Arabidopsis thaliana: one gene and its partner. The protein of the gene in region 1 purifies or fractionates together with the protein of each later gene. This does not show direct contact. Each region holds a gene or a part of one and is shown on either strand. Other genes may lie near its edges.

Evidence for each region.
Region 2: the proteins of AT3G57940 (region 1) and RFC2 fractionate together in Arabidopsis thaliana (co-fractionation; one large-scale study listed by BioGRID). This does not show direct contact.

The regions. Positions count from the first base shown.
Region 1 is NC_003074.8:21,447,346-21,451,270, forward strand, and holds the start of AT3G57940 (GNAT acetyltransferase (DUF699)), read left to right. Parts: upstream 1-1,908; 5' UTR 1,909-2,214; coding exon 2,215-2,319; intron 2,320-2,410; coding exon 2,411-2,502; intron 2,503-2,693; coding exon 2,694-2,865; intron 2,866-2,962; coding exon 2,963-3,085; intron 3,086-3,172; coding exon 3,173-3,346; intron 3,347-3,429; coding exon 3,430-3,540; intron 3,541-3,633; coding exon 3,634-3,767; intron 3,768-3,870; coding exon 3,871-3,925. Other genes in the region: AT3G57930 (rho GTPase-activating gacO-like protein), read right to left, coding at 1-330. UniProt on the Arabidopsis thaliana protein: RNA cytidine acetyltransferase with specificity toward both 18S rRNA and tRNAs. Catalyzes the formation of N(4)-acetylcytidine (ac4C) in 18S rRNA. Required for early nucleolar cleavages of precursor rRNA at sites A0, A1 and A2 during 18S rRNA synthesis.
Region 2 is NC_003070.9:23,421,809-23,425,733, forward strand, and holds RFC2 (replication factor C 2), read right to left. Parts: upstream 2,107-3,925; 5' UTR 1,964-2,106; coding exon 1,802-1,963; intron 1,528-1,801; coding exon 1,421-1,527; intron 1,330-1,420; coding exon 1,228-1,329; intron 1,131-1,227; coding exon 935-1,130; intron 845-934; coding exon 716-844; intron 636-715; coding exon 441-635; intron 371-440; coding exon 260-370; 3' UTR 26-259; downstream 1-25. Other genes in the region: AT1G63170 (Zinc finger, C3HC4 type (RING finger) family protein), read left to right, coding at 3,766-3,925. UniProt on the Arabidopsis thaliana protein: May be involved in DNA replication and thus regulate cell proliferation.

The DNA of each region.
Region 1 (3,925 bases):
TTTCATAGAATCTTCTGTGCTTGATTTTGACCCTACCCCATTCTCTTCTTCAGTTATGTTGCTCTCTTTAGACTCCACTGGTTTCTTCCTCTTCCTCCCATTCTCTGTCACATTTTCTTTACTTGTTACTGAACCATTTGTATCATCATCCTTGTCTTCTTCCTCATCTGTCTTCTTCACTAGCTCTTCTTCTTCTTCTTCTTCATCTTTCACCGGCTTCTGTGGCCTCCCTCTTTTCCTAAAAGCTGGAATCTTTTCTTCCTCGCCGCTCCCTCGATCTTCTCTAGCAGTAGCATTCTGCCTCTTGCCTTTTCCTCTACCTCTTCTCATAACTCTATTCAAACCAAAAACCAAAAACCTCAAGCAACTAGACAAGAAACCTGCAAGTTGAAAAGGTTGCTTTTTAATTACCAGTAGTAACTCATACCTCACAACAACACAATGAAGGCGAACTAAACTCAAACACTATAGAAATTTGTTGAAGAATGCAGACTAAAAAGTGTGAAAAGCAATGTCATTTTTTTCGATATGCACAAAAGTAGAGGATCATTCAAACTGGCAGACACTCCATAGAGGAGGAACTATTCATTGAAGAATCAACACAAGCGCAATCATAAACACGAAAGCAAGATTCCATTTTTTTCATGCATTAGAAGCAGTGCATTGAACAAGTTATTTAACAACATCCAAATACAAATTCTTTCCAAAAAGATCTGAACAAAGGAAACATATATAAGCAACACTTGAGTCACGAGACATTAAACAATTTCATCTCTTAAAAACCTATCCTTTAGAGCTCAATAGAAACCAAGAACTAAGCTACAAGCAAGTTCAATCAATTATCTTCCACGAAAACTAATTGCATGAACAGTCTAAACAAGAAAACAAGCCCTAGTTTCCTTACAATCTCTTCAAAACAGAGAGACAGAGACTCACCTGTGAACCCATTGGTCAGACTGAGACAAAAACCCCAAAAAACCTATAAAGGGTTTCTCTTTTTACTAATTTATAGTTGGGTTCTCAATCGATCTAACTCACGAGTTTCTACAGCTAAAACCCAGATCAGAGGAAAGACTAAGAGTCTAAAGAAAACTGACCAAACCAAACGGAGGAATCAAATCGAATAAAAATCCAAAGGATAAGACTCAAGTTAAAAGAAAGAGATCTAAGAGAAGAAGGAAGGAAGAAAACGAAGAGAAAGAGCAACAGCTAGAGTACTAGTGTTGGTTGAAAAAGATTAAAGTTGATTGCTTTCAAAAGGCTTCTCTTTTCTTTGTTCTAGCTTCTGTCTCTGAGTGAAACTTAAAAGAAAAACGTAAGAATGACGCTTTTTCTTCTCACTACCATCACTGAGACTGACTAAAATGGATCTTAAGCCCGTTGAAGATGGATACGGATTTCACCCACGCGCCCCCTTTTTGGCGCGTGCTTTCACATTCTACTCGTTTTCGAACTCGTTGGGTTCGGTTGGATAAGAGACGACAGCTAATAGCCGCGTTTCATCCAAACATTTCAAAACACTTTCCACGGGCTTCTTCTTTTCCTTTAACGTTTGGGCTTTGGCCCATTAGAGTTCACTTTATTTGTTATCTCTCTATTCTCTCTATCTATATACTAATAATATTCTATATGTCAAAATCATCACATTTTGTAATTCAGCTTCATCAGCTATATAAATTGAAGTTACATCGCTTCAAAATTGTTTTCAAAAACATTCAACAAAGGATTTTGTCACCAGACTCACCACTAACAACTACAAAAAAAACTAAAAGAGAGAGACACATATGATTCTTCCCGGGCTTCTTCTTTTACTGGGCCTTTTATGCTTATGCCCATTAGAGTTCACTTTATTGAACCCGATTTTATATGAATAGTGGCATTAAACCATTTCGGTCTAGTACTCGGTTATGAATGATTCATTCATTGAGTAAGAAGGACAAAAAGGTCAAAGCAGAAAAATCATAATTTCTTCGGTCCTAAACCCTACTCAACAATTTAGAAACCCTAAGTTCTGTTCCGGTGGTCCTTGTTATTTTTTTTTATTTTGGTGTTGTTCTTAAAATTCAGTTCCAAACGGAAATTGATTTCTTCGTCAGTTGCGTTTTTTACCAACACTCGAAAGCAGAACCCATATTTTGTTATTGAATTTGGGTTTTTTTTTGTCTGTGTTAAGAAGATTAAGTAGGAGGAAGAAGAAGAGCTAGTTTTGCGAGAATGAGGAAGAAGGTTGATGAACGTATCAGGACTCTGATTGAAAACGGTGTCAAATTGAGACACCGTTCCATGTTTGTAATCATTGGTGACAAGTCTCGTGACCAGGTTCTCGAAAGTTTTCTACTTGGACACTTATCTCCCTGAGAGAATGTTTTGTTGGATACTAAATCTTCAACCTTTTTTTTTTCTCTAACAGATAGTGAACCTCCATCATATGTTGTCAAAGGCAGTTATTAAATGTAATCCGAGTGTGTTGTGGTGCTACAAGGATAAACTTGACATTAGCAGGTTCTGTTCTTAATCCCAAATTCTCAAGGCTTTAGATGATTCTCTTTTAGCTCATTTTATGCTTGTGATATATATATTGAGAATTTAGCTGGGCACAAGTGTAGAATGGAATGTGAAATTTCTGATTGTCCTTTGAATAAAGAAGATAGCTTTTTTCAGTAATGGTGAGAGTCTGTATCGTTTGTTTGCAGTCATAAGCAAAAGCGTTCGAAGCAGCTGAAGAGATTGAGGGAGAGAGGACAGTTAGATCCAGAGAAACTTGACGCTTTCTCGCGTTTGCTTGATGTTGGAAGAGTCACTCATTGCTTGTACAAAGATTCTGAACGAATTCTTGGAAATACTTTTGGCATGTGCATCTTACAGGTACTTTTCTTCTTATTTATATTCATTTAGGATGACTGCCTTATGTCCCTGTTTCGTTTTGTGAGTAATTGTTACTATTTCTTCTTGATAAATTCAGGATTTTGAAGCTTTAACTCCAAATCTACTAGCAAGAACAATAGAGACTGTGGAAGGTGGTGGTTTGGTTGTATTGATATTGCGATCACTTACATCGCTTACTAGTCTATGCACTATGGTTATGGTATGAACCACAGTTTAATTTCTTATTTTTTGAGTAAGTGGGAGAAAAGCATTATCTAAGTAATGTGACATGACTTTTTTTTATTAGGATGTCCATGACAGATTCCGAACTGAATCGCATTCTGAGGCTGCCGGCCGTTTCAATGAACGTTTTCTGCTTTCACTTGCATCTTGCAAAGCATGTGTTGTCATGGATGATGAGTTGAATATTTTGCCGCTTTCCTCGCATATCAGATCTATTACTCAAGTTCCAACAGAAAAGGTAATTCTTGTAGCAAATTGAGAGAATGTTATCCAAAGTTCCAGGTAGAATTGATAACTTTACAATGTTATGTGCTACTAAAGGATTCCGAGGGGCTCTCTGAGGCAGAGCGGGATCTGAAGAGTTTGAAAGAAGACCTAAGTGATGATTTTCCTGTTGGTCCGTTAATCAAGAAATGTTGTACATTGGATCAGGTTCAAAGCTATCAATTTTATGTCTTGCTAATGTTCTTTCTTGTTGCATGGTTGATATTAAATTGTAGGAGATTCTGCGTTTTCATTTTGTAGGGTAAAGCTGTAGTAACATTTTTCGATGCAATTTTGGATAAGGCTCTCCGCAGCATAGTTGCTTTGATTGCAAGTCGAGGACGTGGAAAATCTGCTGCACTTGGTTTAGCTGTTGCCGGGGCTGTTGCTGCTGGGTAGATTTCTTGAATTAATTTTACTATATGTTCTTCTACTCATCAGTATTAATTTTTCTGGATGTTTGTGAGAATTATTGATGTGTGATTTACTTGCTCTTAGGTACTCAAATATTTACATAACTGCACCAAGCCCGGATAACTTGAAGACATTCTTT
Region 2 (3,925 bases), on another chromosome or scaffold:
GTGTATTGTTTTTTTCATTTATGTGATTTAAACAAATAGCATGGTATTATATAAAAAAATGTGTTGGTATACCAAACTGGTTAGGATTAAGCTTAATATTCAGAAACATTCACAAGCAATTCAAATCTAGAAAACAGAGCAATACAGCATGGAAGTTCCAACATCTATCCGAATTCTCAAACAACGAGATTTAACCAACTTGGTTTAAACATAGACCGGCCACCAGTTCATCACTAGAGATGAGTGGAAGTTACCTAACTTAAGGTGCTTTCGCTGTTTCACGAACAATGGATAACTTAGCCAGAAGACCACATAGCTGAAGATAAGATCCAACTCCATCACAGATTCTCATATGCGCAAATCCAGTTTCCTGAAGAAAAGCATTGGTGTTAGACGAAAGTTTGGATGTTTTGAGCTGTCAAGGAGAATCAGATGTATACCTTCATGAACTCAAGTTTCAGATACTCAGCCATATCGTAATTCTTTATTATACGGAAAAGCGTTGTGATAATGTCGGTTGGAGAGTAGCCCAAATCATAGAGCTGCTTTAAGCCGTCACAGGCGATGTCAAACTTACTTTCCAACACATTGCGAACAATGTTCTTGACATGAAGCGGGTGAGGCTGGTCACAGACCTAAGTGAAGAGATCTTTGATTGATGATATGAAACCAATGTGTTTTATAAGCCAAAGTGAATTAAGGTTTTGTTTCAAACCTTGAAGACGTTTTCTTGGTTGACAAACGAAAACCCGCTGAATGTGGCTTGCAAGTTGTTCAGAGCTTGCCTCATGTCACCATCAGCTGTAAAGATTATCGCCTCAAGGCCTTCAGGCACATACGGAACCTTGAGAGATTGAAAACATAAGCAATTAGAAAATTTTCAAAATTGCAGTAAGTAAACATGTCGAATGAAAGAAAAGTGGCAAATCCGTACTTTCTCTGCTGCAACCACCACCAAGAGACGGCCTAGTATCTGCTGATCAGATAATCTAGAGAATCGAACTAAGGCACATCTACTCTGAATGGGCTCAATAATCTTGGCTGATGTATTACAAGCAAGTGCAAACCGCGTAGAGTTCGAATAGATTTCAATCGTTCTCCTCAATGCTTGTTGTGCTCCAGATGTCATACTAGTTTTTTAGAAACCGAAAACAGAAAGTCAGAAAAAAAAACACTTAACTGGAACAATTCAACTTGAGAAGGAATACTCAAGTAAAAGTCACTAACCTGTCAGCTTCATCTAGGATAACAACCTTATGACGCCCTGGAGGAAGTGTTACTTTCTTCTGCGCAAACATCTTAATTTTGTTCCTTACAACATCAATACCCCTACAAACATAACAGAACATTGAAGATGTCTAACCAAACAACGATTGAAGATAGAACAACATCCCATAGGTAAAAGATTGGCATCACATACCTATCATCAGATGCATTCAACTCCAGAACAGCCTCCTTGTAATTCGTGCCAAGGAGCTCATGAGCAAGAGCCAAAATGCTTGTGGTTTTACCTGTTCCAGGAGGACCCTAAGGATATACAACCAAACAACACAAAATCATATATCAAATCTCCACAAGTAATACTAAACACAGAGATTTTCTAAAAATCAAACCTTCATTAACTTTGGCAGACAATAGAAATTGATTAAAAACCCTCAAAATCTAAGCTTTATCATGAAATCTACACAGTAAACAAACCCAAAATGCCCTAATTGATCAAGTTTTCATCAAACCTAAAACTTTTTAGCAAATTCGAGGAGGGTTTAAATCAAAGAGTGTCAACAGAAGAGTAAAATCTTACGGAAAGGATAAGATTAGGCATGTTGCCGTCGCGAGCAATGACTTGAAGTCTGGAGACGGCGTCTTCGTTTCCAACGATATCGACTACTTTGCTCGGCCTGTATTTCTCCACCCATGGTTCATTGTATCCGTCACCGGTAGAGGTTGATGAAGAAGACGCCATTATCAGTCGGAAGAGAAGGAATCTCCGACCGGTGAGATTTGGAGGGTTTTCTGGTTTGGAGGGAAAATTGCTGGAGGATCCGATTAAGGGTTTTACTTTTATACAATCATTTCATTAAAGGGCCTATAAAAAGAAAACATCCGAATTCTGTACCCAAAGTATATTAATTTCACTATATAGCCCCGCCTTTTAAAACTCGTTGTTACATTTATGCCCAGTTCGGTTCGATAAATTTAAAATTGGTCTATTTTATTATAAATAGATGGGAAAAAAAACCAAAACAAACCTCAATTAATTTTTATTTGGACGTTTAATACTCAATTGTTTTTGGTTGGAAAGTAAATACACGAAATAATAAAATCATACAATTTAATACACAAATAATTAATTGTTGTTATTTTCATACTCACGATCTCACAACAAAAATAAAATTCCAATTTTACTCTTACCATCTCAATTAACTATTATTTTTTGATAATATAATATTAATTATATAATTTTAAATAAAAATTAATTTTATTAACATTTTAGTTTATGGTCTCTAAAATTTAAATTTTCATTTTTATTATTATTATATTATTCTAAAATTTAACATAAAAATTATAGAAAATCAAAAATATTTTAAAATAGTCATTATTACAATCTTCTTCTATCGTTGCAATATCAAAGAATCGTTTTCTCTTTAAGGAAATTTAGAATCAAAGATTAATCTAATTCGTTGAGATTTGGGTTGAGGTTAGCTATTTTGCTACTAAAAACAAAATTAGCCATTTTTATGAATTGATAAATCTTGAGAAATACGATGAGATTCGGGTTGAGATTTTGTCGAAAATAGTTTGATTCTTGAAGGATATACAATCGAAAAGAGAGTTTCTCACTACGAAGAATATTTACCGGCCATTTTAAAATATTTTTAATTTTCTATAATTTTTATGTTAAATTTTAGAATAATATAATAATAATAAAAATTAGAGACCATAAACTAAAATGTTAATAAAATTATTTTTTATTCAAAATTATAAAATTTAATATTATATTATAAAAAAATTAATAATTAATTGAGATGGTAAGGGTAAAATTGGAATTTTATTTTTGTTGTGAGATCGTGAGTATGAAAATAACAACAATTACTTGTTTGTGTATTAAATTGCACGGTTTTATTACTTCGTGTATTTACCTTCCAACCAAAAACAATTGGGTATTAAACGTCCAAATAAAAATTAGTTGAGTTTTTTTTTGGGTTTGTTCCCTAAATAGATGTCGTATAAACTATAATTTTTTCGATTAAAAATTTTCAATTTGGATTTGAGTTTAATTTAGATTTATTCCGGTTTTCGATTAAAAATTATGCTTAAAATTTTTCGAATTTTTGTTAATTTTTTACTCAGTTGGACAAAAGAATAAATTTCGGTTTAATATGGTTTGGTTCAGTTTCTTACCCACCCTTAATTTGAATCAAGTTAGTGTAAGTTTACCATATAGCCACTGAAAAAACTGAATATTACATATATGTCCCCTAATTTCTCTGGTTGTCATTTGAGGAGACATTAAATTCATTACAATTTTGATTTTTTATATTCATTTTTCAAACATCACGTTTCCCGATTTGTCCGACTCATCATCTTCTTTCTCTTTCTGTCTCTCTCTCTCTCTGTTCGAATCGAAACCCTAACAAATCCGAAATTGTCTCTGAGATTGAAATTGCCCCAATTTAATGGCGTAAAGCTTCACCAATTTCATCAATTCGATATCAATTTTTGAAATTTCGAAGAAAGGAAGAAACTTTGAAAAGAGAAAGCAAAATGTCAAGAGAGACGACGACGGAAGCAACGCCTTTGATTTTAACCGACGGAGGAGGAGGAAGGAGATCGGTGAGAAGACAAGGGTTAAGAGAAGCGGCGAGGTTACTAAGACATGCAAGTAGCGGGAGAATGATGATGAGAGAGCCATCGATGCTTGTTC